Linked DNA regions of Drosophila melanogaster. The gene in region 2 interacts genetically with the main gene of each other region. Each region holds a gene or a part of one and is shown on either strand. Other genes may lie near its edges.

Evidence for each region.
Region 1: of CtBP (region 2) and pygo, changing one suppresses a phenotype caused by changing the other (phenotypic suppression), as found in Drosophila melanogaster (one study listed by BioGRID).
Region 3: of CtBP (region 2) and ham, changing one suppresses a phenotype caused by changing the other (phenotypic suppression), as found in Drosophila melanogaster (one study listed by BioGRID).
Region 4: of CtBP (region 2) and ush, changing one suppresses a phenotype caused by changing the other (phenotypic suppression), as found in Drosophila melanogaster (one study listed by BioGRID).

The regions. Positions count from the first base shown.
Region 1 is NT_033777.3:31,575,310-31,582,581, forward strand, and holds pygo (pygopus), read right to left. Parts: upstream 5,391-7,272; 5' UTR 4,644-5,390; intron 4,577-4,643; 5' UTR 4,322-4,576; coding exon 1,995-4,321; intron 1,704-1,994; coding exon 1,583-1,703; 3' UTR 526-1,582; downstream 1-525. Other genes in the region: gammaCOP (coat protein (coatomer) gamma), read left to right, coding at 1-77; rod (rough deal), read left to right, coding at 5,714-5,809, 5,872-6,209, 6,299-6,646, 6,707-6,906, 6,971-7,179, 7,235-7,272. UniProt on the Drosophila melanogaster protein: Involved in signal transduction through the Wnt pathway.
Region 2 is NT_033777.3:13,010,071-13,014,695, reverse strand, and holds the start of CtBP (C-terminal binding protein), read right to left. Parts: upstream 3,048-4,625; 5' UTR 2,948-3,047; exon of another isoform or gene 2,524-2,947; intron 1-2,523. Other genes in the region: CG11656 (uncharacterized protein), read right to left, coding at 3,737-4,532, 4,612-4,625; CG8031 (uncharacterized protein), read left to right, coding at 3,516-3,564. UniProt on the Drosophila melanogaster protein: Corepressor targeting diverse transcription regulators. Hairy-interacting protein required for embryonic segmentation and hairy-mediated transcriptional repression.
Region 3 is NT_033779.5:18,779,583-18,784,136, forward strand, and holds the start of ham (hamlet), read right to left. Parts: upstream 3,019-4,554; 5' UTR 2,723-3,018; coding exon 2,695-2,722; intron 750-2,694; coding exon 223-749; intron 1-222.
Region 4 is NT_033779.5:474,580-479,268, reverse strand, and holds the start of ush (u-shaped), read right to left. Parts: upstream 3,050-4,689; 5' UTR 2,938-3,049; intron 2,824-2,937; exon of another isoform or gene 2,283-2,823; coding exon of another isoform or gene 1,065-2,282; exon of another isoform or gene 1-1,064. Other genes in the region: cbt (cabut), read left to right, coding at 1,065-2,282; MED15 (mediator complex subunit 15), read right to left, coding at 3,467-4,036, 4,091-4,233, 4,504-4,689. UniProt on the Drosophila melanogaster protein: Transcription regulator that modulates expression mediated by transcription factors of the GATA family such as pnr and srp. Represses transcription of proneural achaete-scute complex (AS-C), which is usually activated by pnr.

The DNA.
Region 1 (7,272 bases), about 19 Mb from region 2:
AAGGCGTCACGCTCAATCTGACGGTGCGCAGCACGGACCAGGACGTGGCGGAGCTGATAACGGCGGCCATTGGATAAGACAGCGAGCCATGCAGGAACCTCCTTTGGTTCCTGCGTGCTGTGAACGTAATCTGAACTCCCTACGAAACTACGAAACAGAAAGTTACGCCTAATCAAAATATAATTTGTACCTTTAAGCGACTGTCTCTGTAATAATCTTAGAGCCCTGTCCACAATCCGGCATGTGCAACATTGAGTATTGCTACTGGCCATTTCCGAAAAGTTTGTGTGGCGATGCAGCCTTCGGTGTGCATCGCATATGTTTATTATCCCCATTTAGCCTGTGCATTTAGCTTAAGTATGGAAACAAAATATTAAAAATACATGTATATGCAATGCAACCCGACCTGAAGGCGTTTATTTGGCAGGTGCTTTTAAAGTAGGACATTGAAATGATTTTAATGATTGCAAGCTCGTGGAAACCGCACCTCCAAAGAGAAATTGCTTCATAACTAGAACTTACTTTATTTTATATGGTATTTTATTTAATTATAAATAACTTATAGTTGCAGTAGCCTAGAGTACTTCTTGTTTTCCTATTTTTACAAATTTCTTTTCTCGTTTGAATCGTTTATGTTCGCTGCGTCCTCCACATTCGTCTTAAATTACAAATTAACCTTTCTCACATGAATTCATAATTTCTTGTGCTTTTGTTCGCAATCGATTCCTTATTATACATTCTCCGATTCCGACTATGCTGAATATTTTTGTGTAAAATGTATCGACGATGCAGTTCCATCAATCGTTCGAAACGCTCTTCCGTATTAAATATTTAAAATGTAAACGCACACAAGTATAAAAATAATATAGATTCGTAATAACAAATAACACACTCATGCAGTTCGCAGCAATTTCACAATGATAATTTCATTTCGTTACAACTCCTATACTCATCTCCAAATGTGTTGAATATGTCATTAGATATATGTTTATATAGTTACGAGTGGTTGGTTGTCTGTTGTGTTTCATGCGGATTTCTCGCCAGGCGAGTGGTATTCGATTGGAGATGTGCACCATCATCCCGCCTGGCCTGCTCTTCAGATTTATCCATTTTCTTTTATAATACAAACTAGAGTGCTTCTCAGCTTTCATTCCGTCTTCTTGTTGCGACGTTGTCCTCTTCGATCGCTTCACATGCAGACGCTCACACACAAATTACAATTATATTACAATTAACATATTTCGTTTACACTTTTCGTTAAGGTTTGCCTTGCTTATTTGTTTCAGGAGCACGCCGCGAGTTGGCCAGGAAGCCCGGAGCTCAAATTCACAACACTGCTCCGGCACTTTAGTGGTTCGCATTCTGGCTACGGGGCTTAGCTGCCGGGATGGGGACTGGTGGGTCTCTGGATCGGTCGCGGTCTTGACTATTGAGCAGCTTAAGTCTTACAATTAAGATAGAGTTAATGCTTGGATATTTTATACAGTGAGTGGTTGGGTAGCTGGTGCTGTTGCTTTTGCTTTGCTCTCGCTTTCGCTGGTGGTTGATCGATGTGTTTTGCTGATTTCAAATCCGATCCGCTTCAACACTTGAACTTGACCATGGGAATATGCTTGGAAGACACGCACTTGTCGCAGCACCACTCGGCAAACACCTCCTTGTTGAGCATTTGGAAGGCCGCCTCTGTCAGGCCAACACAGGTTCTGCAAAAATGATAGTGGAGTTAGTCGACGACGAACATGAATAAACGAAAACACCTGACTGATTTTATGTATTAATTGAAGGGTAATCCCCTGTTAACTTTGAACTAGAAGTGATAAGACTAATTGCTCATGAGATTCCAATAAACTTTCCTAAACATTTTGTTCCGAAAAGATAATTATCAGGATATAAGCAGTTTAAAATATGATGATATGGACTAAATATTGTTCCTAGATATTTATATAATATTTTCTATTTGACCTTTTTAATCTATTGTAAACTGGTCGACCTACCTGTGAAAGAAAAAGTTACAACCGGATTCACAGAACACGGCTTCGTCGTTGTCGTTCACCTCCTTGTGGCACATGCCACAAGGATATATGGGCGGCGCATTCGGGTTCTGCGGATTAAAGACCATTGGCTGTCCCGGCGGGTACATCTTCCCGCCGCCCATTGTCATCGGCTTGGGACCTACGCCCATAGGGCCGCCCATCGGGCCACCTCCCATGGGCCCCATGTTGCCCATCGGTCCACCGGGACCCATGGGACCTCCTCCACCACCGCCGAACATATTTGGACCTGGGCCGCCCATCGGATTGTGGTGGTGATGCGGATGTCCGTGGTGCGGGGACATGTGCGGATGCGGGGGTCCGTTCATGCCGCCGGGTCCGGGTCCTGGACCTGGTACTCCACCCATGTGGCCGTGGCCCATGTGCGGACCCGCGTTCCCGTGCGGACCGCCCATCATGTGCGGATTAGGTCCTCCGCCCATATGAGGAGGCATTCCAGCAGGACCGCCGTGCATTCCGGGTCCACCCATCATGTGCGGCGGTGGTCCGCCAGGATGATGGTGCGGATGATGCGGGTGGTTCATCATATTCGGATGCGGGGGACCAAGATGGGAGGGTTGCTGCGGTGGCAGCATTTGGTTCATGCCCATTCCGGGCATTGGTCCGGGCCCGTGGCCAGGTGGGCCGCCGCCCATGTGCTGCTGGTGCTGCATAGGAACTGCGTTCGGGATCATCTGGCCCATCATGGGTCCGTTGTTGTTATTGCTGTTGTTGTTATTGGGGCCATTGGGTCCGGCTGGTGACTGCAGCGGGCTGGGTCCCGAGTTGGGCATGCCCGGACTCGGGCCGGCGCTGTTTAGCGAGTGATGCGGTGACATGGCGGGCGGCGCTGGCGAGGATGTAGGCACTGACGTGGACATGGACGTGGCCGTCGATGTGGGCGTGAGCGTGGGCGTGGCGGGCGAGGGAACCGATGAGGAGGCTACCGATGATACCGAAGGTCCATTCGACTGCATCGACGTCGGCACTCCCAGGCGTCCGGCTGCTGGCGAGAGGTGAGGATTTTGATTGTTGTTGCTGGCGTTACTTGTATTGCTTCCGTTGTTGTTGCTGTTGCCGCCGCCGGGATTCCCGCCGAGCATGTTGTTCCCAGAACCACCCGGGTTATTGCCGTGCGCGGGGGAGATGCCACCGGGACCTACTAGGCCGCCAGGCCCAGGACCTGGTCCTGGGATTGGTCCTCCAGGCATGTGACTGCCATGACCCGTTGGTCCGTTTCCGAGCGGACTGTGCAGAGGAGGAGGACCCATCTGCCCGTTGTTCATCGGTGGCTGCGGAGGTTGTTGTTGTTGCTGCTGTGGTCCGCCGGTATTGCCGGGATTCCCAGGGCCCGGTCCCGAGGGAGGGCCCAACGGGCTGCCAATTGGATTGCCCATTGGCGAACCCATAGGCAGTGAGTTCATTGGCGAGTTCTGCCCCGGACCGCCCATCGGTGAACCCTGCATGGCTCGCGGATTGGGTCCGTTGGGACCGCCTCCCATGGGCGACAGACCACCCATGCCCATGTGATGGGGTGATATGCTGGGGCCTCCCATTCCGCCCATTGGGCTCATGCCGCCCATGCCAGCTATTCCACCCATGGGACTACCCATTGGGACGGGTCCTCCAGGACCACCAGGTCCCCCTGGCCTTCCGTGATTCATATGCGGCGGTAGTCCGACGCCTGGTCCCGGTCCCATTTGATGGGGGTGCATGGGGCTCATTCCTCGCATTGGAGGTGGACCACCCATGTGCGGATGTGGGCCATGTGGGTGACCCATAGGTCCGCCTGGATGATGCGGGTGCATATGGGGATGCATGTGAGGCGGGGGAGGAGGTCCACCGCCCATGCCCATGCGGTCTTCCCAGTGCGGGTGCCCACCCGGTCCACCGCCGCCAAAGTGACCACCTCCTGGTCCGCCGCCCATCTGATTCATGGCCGCCATCGCCGCGGCCGCTGAGCTGGACATCGCCGACACCTGGGGACTGTCGTCGAATGGATTCGAGGCAATAATGGTGTCTCCGAAGCCTCCCATTGGCGGAGGGGGCAGCAAATCCTGCGGTGTGGGTGGCGCCTGCTGCTGCTGCATGGAATTCGCAGCAGCTGCTGCAGCCGCCGCCGCAGCCACCGCTGCAGCGGAGTTGGCGGCACTTGAGGTTTTTCGCCGCTTCTTCGGATTGCTCGGCGCCGAGATGATGTCCGTGGGAGGCGGCGGCTTAAAATCGGGCGGACAGAGTCCGCCCGCTGGACCCGGCAATCGATATGGCGCCATACCAAGATTGTGGGTCATATTCGAGGTGTTCTTCTTCCGAATGGTGGCAGCTTTTCTTCAACGGCGTGGGGCAAGAAATTCGGTTGTAGCGGCGTCGCCAATCCCGCGCAGGAGATCTCGACGCTGGTAAAGGAGTGGGTTTGGTTCTGATGTCCCTAGGGAGGTGGGCACAAATCCACTGGATCCTTCGGTGACCAACTACAATGGGTTATGCTTGGTGGGCTTGGGCTTTCTGCCGGTTATCCGGCCTGCGACCGCCTGGAGTTTGAGTTCCTGGGAGTGTGAAGGGTGCCAAATGAGTATCTGGCATCCTGTGGGTCAGTCCTCCTCAACTACTCACCAAGACATCTCCTGGCCAGGACCCTTATGAAAATCGCGTTTTTAAAGCAACTGACTCCCAAAACGCAGGTAAACACTTTCGGCGCAACGAACGGCAACCCCGCTTATTTTTCGGGTTGGCAACTCTACCCTGGAAACCCAGCGTCGTGTTGTCTCGTTTCAAAGCGCCAAGCACCTGCCGCTTCTCAGTTTCTTACTGATCCTTGATCACTTCAGGTCAGGAGTTCGTTTTTTTAGCACTCTGCACTGCGGTTTGCCACTAATTCCCCTTCATAAACCCTTCAAAGGGCGCTTTCTGGCAGCGCTCTTCTTCTTGCCAGCGATTTTATGTCCTCCGCTGCGCTTCCCGTTCCGTTTTAATTGCAGTGCAGCGCTTAACTGTTGTTTATTTACGGGTTCTTTTTGCGTTTGTCTTTAATCGGAAAACAAAACAACCGGCGGTTATTTCCCAAGGAAATTGTGTTAGGGTTTACGCGATTTGTGAAGCCTGCGTTTTCGGTTGGCTTTTTGTTGATTTGATGGCCACTGCAGCATCCACTTTTAATTAGCGCCGTTTATAGGAGCGGCACACGCACGGATTACCGTTACGCGGATTCGGCGGTCCGGCGGACTGACCACTGAACCGTTATATAGCAGCAGCACATTAACCTTTGTTTATTTTGACCAATTTTTGCGTGCGAAGAAGCGAAATATAAATAATTTTCATTGCAAGTCCGCCAGTGTGACCGTTTGCGCACGTCAAGAGAAATGCCGGAATTCCGTCGGCGGCTCAGTGTGGCCAAAGCAAGCCAGCACGAAGTAGTTTGCAACTACGTTAACATTTAAAAAGTAATAGGTTTAAAGGAGAAATTACGATTTGGACATACGTCATTTAAGTAATAAATATAAATTGCGTAAACGTATTAGCCCCAAGGTCAATACGTAGTGTGTCTTCATGCCGCCAATCGTCTATCGATATGCGGGTAATGTTATCGGCAAACTCTCAGGCGACGCTTGTTTATTGGCGGTGTTTAAATAAAGAGTTTAAAATTGGCAGGTTTTGCACATTAGGCTAGAGCGGATTGAACAGCAATGTGGAGCAACTTCGAGGCGTCCTCCCTGGAGGACGAAACCATCTCCAACATATTTTCGTCGCGAGGCATCTTCCAAATAAGCAGTGAAGAGGAAGTGAGTCCTTATTGTGCAGAATCTGCAGTTGGGTTTCTACGCTCGCCTTCTTTCATTGTCAGGTAAACAAATATCCAGATGTCATGGCCTCCGTGCAGTGCGGCAAGATGGTCATTGGCATCGACAAGAGCCTTTTGCTCCTGGAGGACGAACTGGTGGCCAAGTGCAGCTTTCTGGCATTCGGGGCAGCCATTGAGGCCATTGCCATTTCTTCAAGCGGCAACCTGATTGTATGCGGCCTCAGCGATGGCGAAGTTCACGGAGTGTTCATCAAGGGCCTGCTCCTGTTCAGCGTGGCCGTCAATCTGGAGGACGTGAGCCTAACTGGCGGGACCTTCCGGAGCATCCATCAACTGGATCAGCGGTTTTACTTCACCTGTAAGAATGGAAGCATCTATAGGTAAGCCATTCACAGAGATGGGCTCTGGCATATGCGTGATAAAACTGGATCTTGACATTATTTCATTAAACGATTCAAACGCTGTGTAGCTTAAGCGACATTGATGAGACCTGCTTGGAAACGTTAGGCAATATGAGCCTGAATGAAAACGAAACTATAGCTTGCGAAAAGGCCCTGCTCGAGGACGTCACCATTCAACGTCTTTCCAAGGGCAGATCCTCGTGCAGCGTGGACTGTGCAGTGCTGCTCAAGCGGCTGCTGACCGGCAACATCAGTGCCGAGAACAATCAGGATGATCTGGAGGCGCAACCCGGTCTAGTTATCACTGGAGATCAAAGCACTATGAACTTTAGGAATGCAGCCAATGACGTGACACGAATAAATTTGCCCGCTCAGTACGGCAGCCTAAAGCAGATCTTCAACTTGGAACACTATATGTGAGTGGGTTTGCTTATTGTGGTGCTAGAATCCCTCTAACGTGTATCTGGGTTTTGCAGTATCGCACTCACCGATTCCGGCCACTTGGTGGAGATTTGTCCATACACTCGCACAGTGTACATGTGTCAAACTACCCAACAAAAAAATCTGCTCATCGAGGATCTGCTGGTTATGGAGTGCAGCGAAGATAACATTGAGCTTCTGGTGCTGACGAAATCAACGGCGGAGGGACGCTTCATTAAGATAGTGGAGTACCCAAGTATGAGTCCAGCAAACATAAAACATAAACATACAGTAAGGCTAAAAACCTTGTGTCATTGCAGCGCTCAATGTGAAGAACGAGGTAGAAGTTCCTGATCACGCATGGCTTGTGCGTCAGCCTAAGTGTGCGGTCAATCTGTATTATCTGGCTGCCAAGGAAGTCAACCAGAGCAGCATACCCTCCGTGGTGGAGATGATGCTCGTTTCCGAGACCGACCCCAGTGATCGTTTTAAGAAGCTGATTTGCAAGGGGCGACTGGAGGAGGCTGAGGTATTGAGTATAATTGATCTCTTAGTCATTCATTATCCATTAACATTTGCAACAGGAATTTGGCAAGCAGTTTGAGCTGTGCCTCCAGCCCAT
Region 2 (4,625 bases):
CAAGCCAGCATAGCCGAGTGGCAAGTGACCAGAAGTGGGAAAAAATCAAATGAAATACAATTTATATATATATATATATGTATATATTATTGCCTCGCACGCTTACGAATTGCTGATTCTGCGTTTTGCGGCTGCTTGGCTATTTCTATTTATTATTGTTGCCATATCGCTGCATCTGTTGTTTTGGACGAATTTGGCTGAGCCATCTGAAAGTGTGTGTTTTCTGTTTTCATTTGAAAAGTGCTTGCGCAGGAGTATAGCAGATATGGCGAAAGGTTTGCCATCAAACATGCAACGATTAGCTGGCCAAAATACATCTTTCCACCGCTGAATAGATGAAAGACATCCGAATTTGTAAACTATCATTCATTTTCAACAAATTTATAACTTGGACAATTTAGCTTTAAGGGTATTAGAGCCTGTACCATCAACCGAATTGCGTTGTATTTGCCTTTCAGATCGATAGAGATAGAGCGCAGAAAAAAAATACAAGAATATGAGGCACACATGGCTGCCATTGTGTTTCTGGTCGAATTTTAGTTCCTCGGACTTTTGTGTTTAAATTTAAACGTTTGCCTGCTATTTTGGTGGCTGCTTTCGCTTTGTTTTGCGCCCCGTGCACCACCAAGTGTGAAATTCTTTGGGCAGGTGTGCATTTTTTCACGCGCGCAGTCGGCGGCAAACACACAACAACAAACATTGCGCAAAAACACAGAGCATCAAACGGATTGGGGGGGGGGGTCGTACGAGGCGTGGCAGTGGGCGGCATCGCCTGGCATTGACAATAAATAACCGTTAGCTAGTGGGAGTGGGCAGCCCATACACAATCAAATTTATTATTTGCCAAAAAAGGGCAGTGACAAGAAGCGGAAAACGTTGTTGCGCCAAAAAAACTAGTAACAACAAATTCAGCAACATGTACAGTTATCGATGGACTATATATATAGAAAATTCCATGGCAATGCAAATATTGAAGTGGAAACGGGAAAAGCGGCTCTCTCTGCCACATATTTCCATATTTCTATTTATTCTATAGCGAAAACTACATTGGGTAGGAAGAATTCTTAACGACTGCAATACAAATTCAGTGGCTAATAACTATAAATTTAAGTGTTTTTATAAAGCAAATTCCTCAGCATTTCATTTTTGCCCAATGACGAACAATTAGCCAAAAATTTCATAACCGCAATTAACTTTAACTTTAAGGCAATCAATAATTTCAATTGTGCCTGCTGCTTTTAAGGGTTTGTAATCAGTCTAGATACCCCAAAAGTGCGCAAAAAGTTGCGGGGAATACAACAAATGACTAAACAACTAACAGTCGCTATAATTTGAACTCTTTATGTGGCAGAAGTTTGTCTGTATTTCCGTTTTTGGGCAAAAACAAAAACACCATTTGTAATCCTCTTCGGAGTTTTGAGCACTGCGAGCAATACCAACAACATTCCCGTTGCAAGTGCGGCAGTATGTGGCTGGGAGGGGAGAGGTTTAGGGAGGGGGGAGCCCAGAGTTGCTTGTCTGTCTGCCTCTTCATGTGTGCGTGTGTGTGTGTGTATGACGTATACGTTTGTATGTGTGTGATGGGTACAGGCACGTCGAACAGTGAAAGGGCGAACGAACAAGAGAGAAGAGAGAGAGCGATAGAGATAGAAGAAGCTATGACAAAAACACGACAAGCGCAAAAATTGTAAGAAAACTAGAAACAAGCATCAATTTGAATGGACATTCGTAAGTTGATCAAACTTTTTCACTTGGTTGTGTATTCAAATCGGCATAAACACACACAAACAAACAATCGCAACGGTTGTTGAGTAAGTGTGTGCGCTTGTAATTTGCAATCAATATGCGGGCGCAGGAAATAAAAGCTATTTATACTTTTAAAGCTTTAGTTCGCGAAGAAGAAACGATAAGCAGCACTTTCACCCTTTAAAGGCTTTTAATCCGAGCGAAAGAACGAAAACTCCCGGTTGAAATGTGTCAACATGAGGCTTTAGTTGGTTTTCAAACTCGTTGCTTTTGGCCTCTCCCTCCCACCCTTTCTCTTGCACTCGCGCTAGCTCGCTCTTTCTCTCTCTGTCGCACCAAATGTGGCGGCGGCAAAACAACAACGATGAGACAGCATGTTGCAGTGGCGTGGGCAAAAGGGGGGTGCTTGAGAAAAGGGGGACGTTGCGCAGTGAACCTTGCGTGTGTATTGTCACTAGGCGGGCGGAAAAAAATATAAATTACAAAGAGAGTGTATGTATCTGTGGCTGTGTGCGTGTGCGGGGAAATTATTGCACAATTTTATTTATGTTTTGCATAGAATATGGCAGGCATTGCTCTCTCTCTCTCTCTCTCACTCACTCACACACGCACTCACTCGACTTTTGCATTAAACCGCAACAATACTTGGTCATGTGTGTGTGCGTACCCACACACGCACACCCGCATCACCTATACAGGCAATAGCAGTTCCGCTTTAAAATTCATCAGAATTCTGCACGTTTAAATTTTTCTTGTACACGTTTATCGCACACTCACACACACGCACGCACACAGGCACAGGCGCACACTCGTTGCAAACGGAAAGGCAAATGGGAAATATATGGTGTAGTAATCCGTGGAAAAATCGCCGCTGCCGCGGATTTTCGATTGTGGTATTATTAAATAGCTGAAACGCAATCAGCGGCGCACAATTTGATTTTCAGCTCTCGTTTTCGCCTTTTTTTCTCTCGCTTATTCGCCTATTCCTTTGTGGCGGCGGCGACGGCGGCGTCGGTTTTCTTCTCTCTTTTCTTTTTCTTTTTTTGCGAGTTCACAATTGGGCAAGAAATTCACGTGCCAAAAACGCGGCCACACACAATTTTCGGGGACAAACACTTGGCGGCGGGTCTCATGCACCGTTGCCGACCACTTTTCACAAATTTTATGCACTTTTTGGGCAGTTTTCCCACAATTAATTTACCAGCAACGCGTCCAAATTCCACTCGCAGCTTTCAAAATGGCGGAATACGAACACGGCGGATTTTTAGGTTTTAGTACAGCAATGACGCTATGCGAACAGTGTGACCGCACACGGGTCGTTCGAAAATACCTCGGTGCGCGCAGGCAAACTGCAAGAATTATGGTATAGTTTGAAATGTTGGTATTGCAGAATTCCGACTTTCGACTTCCGTGAGTTTCAGTTGTATATGTTATGCGATTTCATTTATGGAAATTAATAAAAAACAACACTTAAATAAAATTACGTTACCTTATGTATTGTATTTTATTTGTGTGATTTATTATTTAGAATAATAAAAAAGTATTAATGGTATATATGATTATACCAAAAAAAAAACGATATTTAAGTACTTAATGCAGCCCTGAAGAAGTGTGACCGCTGATCAGCGAATCCAGAGAACGTGTTTATTTCAAAAACAAGACGACGGTCACACTGCTGTACCAATAACAAAGAACTCGTTTTTTCTACAAGTAACGGCCAGTTAATAGCTCTTACTAACTAAACAGACCGATTAGGGATCTCGCACAAAATGTCGGCCAGAAGAGCAACCCATGCAGGCAGCTGGTACACGGACTCGGGTGAGTAACAACCCAGCTGCGGCCCAGAAGATAACACAATCAATTATTGCATCGCCTATGGGTGTGGGATAAACGCATATGTATTGCACCTGTGCGTGTTTGCCTGTGTGTGTGTTTGTGTGCGGGTAATGAACCTTAGGGTGAACCAAAAATGTAACTACAGGTCACCAATTCAGAAGTTCTTTTCCGGATCCGAGCCAACCGCATTGCGAATCTCGTCCATGCGATCGTATGCGATTTCGGTGGCCCAGCACAGACGCTTCTCCAGCTCGCTGTTGCGCCGCCGCTGCTGACGCAGTGCATCCAGTCCGCGTTCCAACTGAGTGCATGCCTGGAAGAAGGTGCTCAGCTCGGGTATGTCGCCGAATTCGCCGGGATGCCGACGGAATCCCTGCGTGGCGTCCGTGGATAGCTTGTCCAGGCGATTTTGCAGGAAACGCTGGTCGAACATCATCTGAAGCTCTGCAGTCGTCGCTTTGCCCAACTCGTTGTTGGATTCGTTTAGGTGCAGGTCCCGTATGCGGTCCTTCAAGCCCGTGAAGCTAACCGACTCCAATTTCTCGCCAATGCCCTGGAAGAGTTCGTAGCTCTGCTTGAGCTCCAGCTGCATCTTCCGGACATCTTCGTCGATGCTTTTGGCCGCTTGCGATTCAAGGAAGTCGGCACGGGCACTGGCCTCCACGGGCGGAGCGTCATATCCTGATCTTAGCGAATAGCTCGAGGATGTGGAGACCGGATCCGATGGCTTCTCCTGGGCTCCACCTCCAGTTAAACGATCTTCAGATGATCTGGTACCCGACGACGAACTCTTTGTACTGCCAGCGGACGAGGAGGAGGCCTTACTATTGTTCTTCTTGGAACTCCTCGATTTTGCTTTCCTTGTTTTCCTTATGGGCCCGAAAATGGGCAGCGGATTGGGACTCAGGAGCAGTTCCTGTGACGCCTCCTTGTCGGAATCATCAGCAGCCCTGTTGTAGGATTATAAATGGATTGATTTTTTTCTTCTTTTATATATATATATATATATTGGGTAACTTGATAACTTACTCTTGAGATAATAT
Region 3 (4,554 bases), on a different chromosome or scaffold from region 2:
AACTAAAATATATTTAAATCATCGTTAGAAAGTAGTTTAATAAGTTATGCAAAGCATTACAAAATATCAGATCCAACAATCAACTTTAGACTACAAGTTTTCTATCTATCGTTCGATTCTAAATATTCAATGTATTTTCTACTCCTTCCCCACAGTTATATTTACTTCTCAGAACTTAAAAAATTATTTATCTCTTTTTCAAGGATTGTCAAAACTACTTACCTTCCAGGCCAGCTGAGGATCGTTGGGTTGGTGGCTGAGCTTCATGGGAAAGGGTCCGTAGCGAGTGCCCCTCTGGAGCGGCGTCTTGGCGTAGACGCCACCACTATCACGGATGTCCAGCTCACAGACTGGTTCGCGCCTACGCACCCACTCCTGCAGGATGTGCTCCGCCTGGGCGCGGTCCTTGAAGAAGGCATCCATGCCGTCGACGGAGGCGGCTGCGGCGGAGGAGGATTCCACGGACAGCGGCAACGTGGGAGGCGGTGGCTGTTGTCGCTGGTTCTGCTGGTGGAAATGATTGGGATGGTGAAGTAGCTCCTGATCCTGTATATCAAGATGATCCCGCCTCGGCGGAGATCCTTCCACGGGCTCCTGCTGCGGTAAGTGATGGCGGGCGGCGAATGAATCCTCGATTTGTTCAGACAGTGGATTGAAGCCCTGACTCCTGGCACTCAGATCCAGGTGATGGAGGTGATGATGGTGGCGCGCTACACTTGCACTTGGATCGAAGTCGTCGCCTCCGGAGCCTGTTAACAATCGAAGCGGATAAGAAATAGACAGCGATTAGAAATGACTTTTCCGACCGCTGGCAAGCACTCAAAGCACTAATCCTAATCAGTTGTTGGCTGTCAATTCACTCCCAAAATAAAATAGATAAAGCCAATGACTCTTCACGTCGAGATGACAATCGTTGCCCGGTTTTATATATAAAGGTGTCTTTGGGGATTTTGCAATGCACGGCTGGGACCGTCTATCACTGCCCACTCTATGTGGCTCCTATCTTCCCGGCAAGACAGGTGTCTCTACCCTTTCCACAGACAGGGCGTATCAGTTACCTCGTCTGTTTTCCTGTCTAATCCAAGCAGGCTGAGCAAATAAAAACTGGATAAATATCGACGGGAAATATTTAAACTATTTTGTTGACACAATAATTCCGACTTAAGTTGCTTAGATTTGCTGCTTATCTTCACATTTAATTGATGTGACTGGATTGACTTTTGCCGATTGAATAGATAAAATAAACTTCACTAGACGACTTGATGAGTCAGCTTAGTGACAGTAGAATCAGGGGTAATTTGATTTTTACCCTTAGAACTCCCATAATATTTTGCACTATTTCAGATGGGTGGTGATGACATTGTGAGTGCATTCCCATGGTGTCATTTGAAAAAAATAGCACCCACTTCTTTAAGATACCGATAATCGGTGGGCTCGGAACATAAGTATACACGGACAAATTACCCGGCGATTATTGATATTTGAGCAACTACTAGTTGTTGTTTGCTGTTTGGTTTCTTGTCTTGTCCATCCGCCTTGTTCGAACACTTGAAACTAAATCGTAATTTGAGCTGTTAGACAAAATATGACAGCGCTTCGAAGATAACGAGCATACGAATGGTAACAGTAACTACGGAGTAACAGTAACATTACCCCGAAACAGATAAGTATCGGCCATATAAGTAGACCGCAAACCAATGGCTCGCAAACAATGGCCAAACACAAAGCAAACTACGTTTGGAGTTCTCGACCCGAAACAACCTGCTGCATTTCGCACATCCTGCGGCACACTCTGTTTGCACAGTATCCTGGCACTTCGATCGCGAACCCCGACGGCTTCACACCATTTAGCGAAATCTTTTTGAAGTGGCCTACACTTCAAAGACCGCCCTCGCAACCACTCATCTCGCGTTTATCCTCGGCTCTATTTGACAACCCAATTGTTAATCACTCTGGTTTTCTTTAGTTTTCGCTTTTACCCAAGCGCAAGTGTTTTTTCAACGGGACCTTCGGCTAATTTGTGTTTTAGGTAATCACATTTGGGTTTGGTCTGCTGATAAAACTGGCCATAAACGCTTGATTGCCAGTGTGTGGGGGCTTGATAAGTGGGGATCGATTTTAATGGGTTTACTTAGGGCTTACTTCGGTTTTAGTTTGGTCATTAAAAGTTGCGGCAAGTTTAGTAAGGAAACTAGATTAAAAGATGTTTTTTGTGGCCCGAGATATAGAGCTCTTAAAAAATGTTTTCGCCTAATTTTTTTCACTACTTCAATTATTTTCAATGGTATATGCCAATTTATTAACAGGCAATAAGTATTTTAGCTGGGTTGATATAATTTGTTCAAATTATATTTGAATGGCAAGCCTTCAATTTCCTGTAAGTCTAAAAAAATTCGTAGTTTATTTATAAACGAATGTTTTAATTAGGGCCAAGACAATAGGAGATAAAACCACGACACCACTTATTTTAAGCACTTGATTTGTCACAATTTTTGTCATTGATGTTTTAGGGCTAAAAAACAATCGATCAACTAATGGGTGGATTTGTTCAAACTGATTCACTTGGCTTCTGTTTAAGTTAGGGCCGTTGTAAACTGTTTTCAAAGTAACTGATTCAGTTCAGGGAACTGCGATTCCCTGTAAGCCGCAGTGCGAGATACCAACTTTTGTTTATTAACACGGCGTGGAACCAACCTGATATGACATATCGATCGAACAGCATGATTCCGCTTTCAAACGTTACTTGTAATTATCACAATAAACAGATCGCTGGCAAATATTTTCATAACACGCGATGTGACATTTTCTGCGCGGCCAACACTGCGTATGCTTGATGTTGCTTTATGTAGGTACCGATATTGCTACGATTTTAACGGATATTTATTTATTTGATGGGTGTCGTCTCTATCTGCCGGTTGTCTTCGCAAGACTGCTGCCAGCCAGCCAGCCAGGAAAAGAAGCGGCGATAACGCAAAAAATATAAATGCAAAGAAACAAGCAGAAACAGAATTGTGTGGCAGCGACGTCGACGTCGACGGCGACCGAGAGTGCAAACGGCGGCAGCGAAAAGCGAGTGTGATTTTCCGATTCCGATTGCCAGCACGCTCAGCAACGAACTGAAACTGAATTGTCTGGAGGCGATGAGGATTCTCGGATTCTCGGATTGCCGGACTCGGATTCTCGGTTTGAATGGGAATTTTTCGGGCCGGTTGGCTGGTTGGCTATCCATTCGCCATGGTGGTTGTTTCCGCTCCTCTCTCCCAACCGAAAATCTCATCCCATCTCCCAGAGGATCGCCCTGATGTCCTGGCTATCTTTCGTAAAGCATAACCAAAAGGATAGGGGATGAAACTGGAGAGCAACATCGGTGGAGAGAGGGAGAGAGAAAGAGAGAGAGAGTGCAGCATCTGTATCTTTAACAGTGCGTTTATATATGTATCTCCAGCCTGCGCTCACACACTCTCTCTCTCTCGGATTCTGTTCCTCCTTCTCTTTCGCGGCGAGAACAGCTCTCTTTCTCGCCCCTTGAAATCTGTGTCAGTTTGCAGTCATTATTATTATCTGAAACTTGGTGATTCTGATTCGAATCCTTAGTGCCAGTGGCCACAGAAAGGATAACAGAGGGAGATGGCCATCAACGAGACAGGGACAGAGAATGAGCAAGAGAGAGAGAGTGCGATGGCCTTATTTACCCCTCGATTTTTCCTATCAGAATACGGCTATGTATCTTTGAGATACACAGACAGCCAGCTCGAGTTGAGGGAGGAGTCAGGATAATAGGGCGGGCACATCTTCGCATTCATTATGCACTCGACTACATGTAGACTGCGCTTTATATATCTCTGCATATCTATATACCGAAATGGAGGCAGAGCAGACTCCGATGCAGCTGTAGATACAGATACAGAACCAGATACAGATACAGAGATGGTGTTGCTCTCTTTTTCTGGCTGCCGCTAGTGTCTCTGTCTCTGTTGCGCTCTTCTGTTTGTTTGTTTGCGGTTGGCCCAGACCAGACACCACCCACGGCCCCCTCTTCTGATTTGCCACCCCCCACCCCCTTCTCCCCCACGAGAAGACAAAGTGGCAAGTTGCGGTTGCCTTATCCTTAGCATCCATTTCGTTTTGGTTTTCGAGGGGGACTCGGCTTTTGGTTTGGGGATTGTGGCTTCGTTAGCTCAGTGGGCTTTTTCACAACCACCACCCGCCTTGAATTTCCCACCTCTCTTGAATTTTCCCCCAAAATTCAACCTGCGTCTGTTCCAAAGCGTGCGCAATAAGCACACACATTAGGCTAATGGCTGTGTGTGGGTGTAGACTGCCCTGCCGCTTAAGTGCGTGTGTGTGTGTTTATGGCTTCCTGCCAACTGTATAGGTGTGTATGGAAGTGTGTGTGTGTGTGTGTGTTGGCCGGACAGAGAAAACTCACGGCTATAATTGAAAGCGACGACGACTTTTAGCCTGCGGCAGAAAAGGCAAAGTGTGCCGGGCTGATTTCCTCGACTTTCTCCACTTTTTCCCCTCACTCTTCCTTATGGTTGCCCTTTTTCCCTG
Region 4 (4,689 bases), on a different chromosome or scaffold from region 2:
CTAAAAACAAAGTGCCTCGTCCCGCTCGCACTCGCACACAGCCATGCGATCACGCAGCCAACACGCTTTCACGTGAACACCGCATGCACAGCGAGTGATGTGTGAGTGCGAGCGAGAGGCCGCAGCTGAACATTGGACTTGGCACCACTAGGAAAAAACAACAGAAAAGCAAAAGAGAGAAGGTGAGTTGCCAATTGGCAACTGTAGGCGAGCGGTGGAGTGTGAGAGGAAAGAGAGGGCCTAGCCAAAAGCTAGGCAAACAGGCCAAGCCCCAACCCATAAAACCATGTCACATTTCTGGCTCGTTTTTTATCTGGCCAAGAAAGAAACAAACAAACACTGTCGCACATTAGAGCGCAACGTGCCGAGCCCATAAAAAGATTTCGACGTCTTCGCACGAGTCATAATACACCCCTCGCATTCGCCTTCCCCATGAAATCACCCACCTGAGGCACGTCATAATAATACTGGTGGTGTGGCTGCATTTTCCTTGCATGCTTTTAGGCGCAATTTTTAAATGGTTCTAGAATATGCGCCGAAAACGCAACAGTTGCTCATGTTTTCATCCTTAAAAATTAAGTAGTGAAATTTGAAAAGTCCATATTAAGAACAGTTTTTAAAATTTTAAGACATTTTTTGTTTCTGTCAGGAGCACATCAATTTAAAGACTTTTATGTGGTCATCAATACAGTATTCACCTTTAACATTTACATACGTCTATAATTTAAAGCACAGCTGGCAGCAACAGTTAATGAGTAATATTCTGTCACCCCAAACGGCCTTTAAAAGAGTTCAAAAACCGCCAAAAACAAAGTTCCCTTGGCCTTTCGAAGGAGCATTGAACCTGGGGTTGGGCGGGGTATTGCAGGGTGTGTGAAGGTTAACGGTGAACGGCCTTGTCAGCCGCCGGCGTAATTAGCGAATTGCGAGGAAAAGTTATTGTGGGTCAATGCTGGTCAGCGAAAAGTGAATGGGACTGTGAATGTGAATGCACTCCTCAGAACATAAACTCGACAATGTTAACGAACTCTGACTAACCCTGAACTTGTTCTTTCCTTTTCCAGGTCGCCAAGGACGAACAACAGGTGAACGAGAATCTGCTAAAGGCAAAGCTCAAGCTGGTGGCCCAAAAGAGTCAGAAAAATGGAGGGATTATTACACCAAATCCATCGGACACGGAAGACGAGGCTCCCGAAATAGCGGTTCCCAACAAGAAACCCCGTTTGGAACAACCTGCTATGAGCATGACACCGCCGCCGGATCAAAAGCTGGACGATGATCAGAAAGCGGAAAGGGTTAGCGTCATCATGCGGGTCAACAGTTCTGGCGCTGTCTCTTCTAGTAGCCAAGACGAGAACTCATCTAGTTCCACCTCCTGCTGTAGTTCCTCTTCCAACACAAACACAAGTACAAGTTCAGTACCACCCACTGTGGAGGACGACTATCCAGAGGCCAATGTGTGGCGCAATCTCAAGTTCAAAATGAACAGAAAGCGTGCTGCAGAAGTGGCACTACCCCCAGTACAAACACCCGAGACACCAGTTGCGAAGCTTGTAACGCCACCTGCTCCAGCGGAATGCATCAAGGAGGAGGAAATAAAACCTATTCTGACACCGATATATGTTAGCCCAGTAGCTTCGTCTGCCAGCCAACTTATCCTGCTCAGCACAGTGGCCGCCCAACAGAGCCCCACACCCGTACCCAAAACGCCAACAATGTCCGAGGAGAAACTAACAACCAGAATTACGGCCGCCCAGGCGGCGGCCACCAGAAGTCGCATCTACGAGTGCAGTTTTCCCGATTGCGGCAAGAATTACTTCAAAAGCAGTCATCTGAAGGCCCACCAGAGGGTTCACACCGGCGAGCGACCCTTTATCTGCAAGTGGGAGAACTGTGACAAACGATTCTCCCGTTCCGATGAGTTGTCCCGACACAAACGGACCCACACCGGTGAAAAGAAATTCCAGTGCAGCGTCTGCCAGAAGAAATTCATGAGAAGCGATCACCTGTCGAAGCACGTCAAACGGCACAACAAGGACAAGGCGAACGGAGTGAATCGACATGTCTCCCTGGCCAACAACAACACATCAGCTTCGGTAGCGGCTTCCCTCTGCGATGCCTCGCTCCATTTGCGAGCGATAGCACCGGCGGGCTCCAGCGCTAGTTCCTCGCCCATCAGTTCCGCCAGCTTGCAAGTCTACAGCGCCCAAGATCTGCTGAGGCTACAGCAGCAGGCCAGCAGTTTCACCTTCGGCGGAACCCTGCTTCAAGTGCAGCGATGAGAAGAGCAATGCGAGCAGCATCAGAACCAATCTCAGCCCCACAGTATCGCCAGCTAAACAGAGATGAATTCCCACCAAATTTCAAAACAAATTAACATCTGAGTCAAATTCGAAATGCCTTCTCGCTCTCATGTAGCTGGTGTAGACTTAAGCTTAGTTAGGAGCTAGATCTTGTCACCGTTTTGTGCATATATCAACTTCAAATTCAATACGTAATACCCAAATCGGATAGATGCCACTTCTTTCCAGGAGCACACAGCACACTTCTTATCTAAGCGATCTTCTTCAGATTAATATTCTGAATATCCCTAGTGTTTGTACATACTATAAAGAGACGCATTCGGCGTCCAACATCTGTGATATTTAAGTTTTCTTAACTCTTTTCTATTGTACCATAGTTGTCAGTGTAATTCTCTTAAGCTAAAACACACACAATTGTATTTATTGCTAAATGTGAAAAAAAGAAAATGAAAACAAATAGAATAATGGATCATCGCACGATTCCAATCTCAACAAATGAAAATATACATATTTTCCAAAGAAAACTAAAGTTATTCTATGAATTGGGAGGGAAGCGTAATTGGGCAGAAGTCTATTGCGGTGACTTAATTTTTTTTTAGAATGACAAGCCCTATTCCAAATTGTTTATGCTTACCTTTTTAAAAATCTCATCCGACTGAAACAATTTGCAAAGTATGTAGCCCCATTTTGGTATTGAACTAAGTCTTGAGTGTGGAATGTTTTTTGCTTGATGAGTGGATGAGTGTGTTGTGTATATAGAAGGATGTTTCAATGCGGTGCAGCTCAATATTCTTTGAAATAATTGGTTTTATTTTATTTTAGCTATAAAAGCCATTTGTCTTATATGTTAAAATGTATTTACCCAAAACAGAGGGGCATTTTGGGAATCTAAAATGAAATTAAAATTTTCAATATCCATTGATTTAAAATTAAACAAGATATAAACTTACTAAACTTTCCACACTTTTTGCCCAGCGTAAATAGAAAAAATGTTTATAGTTGATTAGGCCGGATAGTTAGGTAAAACTTCCAACAAATATAAAAATATATCTAGAACAAAACAGAAATTAGAAAGATTTTAAAATAAATAGTAATTTTTTTGCAGCGTACGCACTTTTAGCTTAAGATTTAATGTTATAGTTGAATTTAACCAAATAGTTGGGCTAAACTCCCAGCAAAGTGGAAAGTTCACAGACTGCTCTGGGTTTCGATTGCGGGGAACACGCCTGTCGCACGGCCATCTCCCAGGTGTCCAACAAATGTGAGAGCGAGTAGTTCTTGGGCAACTTCGAGATGCGGGCAATGAGAGCTTGTTGCACCGTCTGCAGGAAGGGGGTGGCTGAATACTCCTGTTCCGCCAAGGAGCAGTCCGGAGCCTGCCACGGATATTCCTCCGGCACACTCACACTTACGGGCGGAACACTAGGCAACCTTTTGTCATCCAGGCAACAAATCAAGCGAATGGCCTTGTTGTTGATCTGTGACGTGGTGTCCAATTTCACTTTAAACTTGGTATCGAGCCTAGCAATTTCCCCTTGAAGCACATGTGGCACTTCCTGCTCAAAAGACGTGGACTTTTCTTCCACCCGAGGTCGCTTTGCGGGCACTGGAGCTGTTATATCCGTACCAAAGAGCAGCTCCAAAGTGGGTCGGAATGTGCGATACAATGTGTGATTTGCTACAGGACTTTGCAGCGTTGTATTTATAACCTCCAGCAATGGATTTGAGGATTTCTAGGTATAACGAAGAATATAATAAATTGGCCCGTTGGATGTAGATATACTTACACCAAACTGCTGGCCGGAATAGGAGATGAGATCCATCTTCTCAAGCGCTTTTTCACACTTAAGTAGAGTCTCCAGCGGCACGCGCTGTGTAGGATTGCAGAGAATCTCCAACAACTTGCTCATCTTTGTCATCTTCTCCACATCTATTAAAGAAGATATAATATTAGTTTTACGATAACATATACTTCGAGAATATAACTACTAGGAAATATATAAACCCGAGTAAGTTTGCATTAAACTTTTGTTTTTGGTTAGTTAGTCCTTGCATTTGGCCTCGCAAAAACGATTATATAATTCTTAAATTATATTATTTGACGCGGTTTATAGCATTTACAGCATTTCAGTAATCAGCAAACGATTTAAAAATGCAATAGCTGCGAAAAAAACGAAACGTGAGGGTATTATCTACTTACTGGTTCCGTCGTTACTGATCTTGGCAAGCATCCGCTTCAGTGGCTCAATGTACTTGGTCAGCTGCTTGTATTTCTCGCGGTATAATGCCTCCTCCTGGGGATTAAATGGACTGTTACCAGTAACCTGGCCAGGAGTGTTGATCGAGGCACTTGGAGACTGCTGCCGAATATTGCGCTGCGAATTCT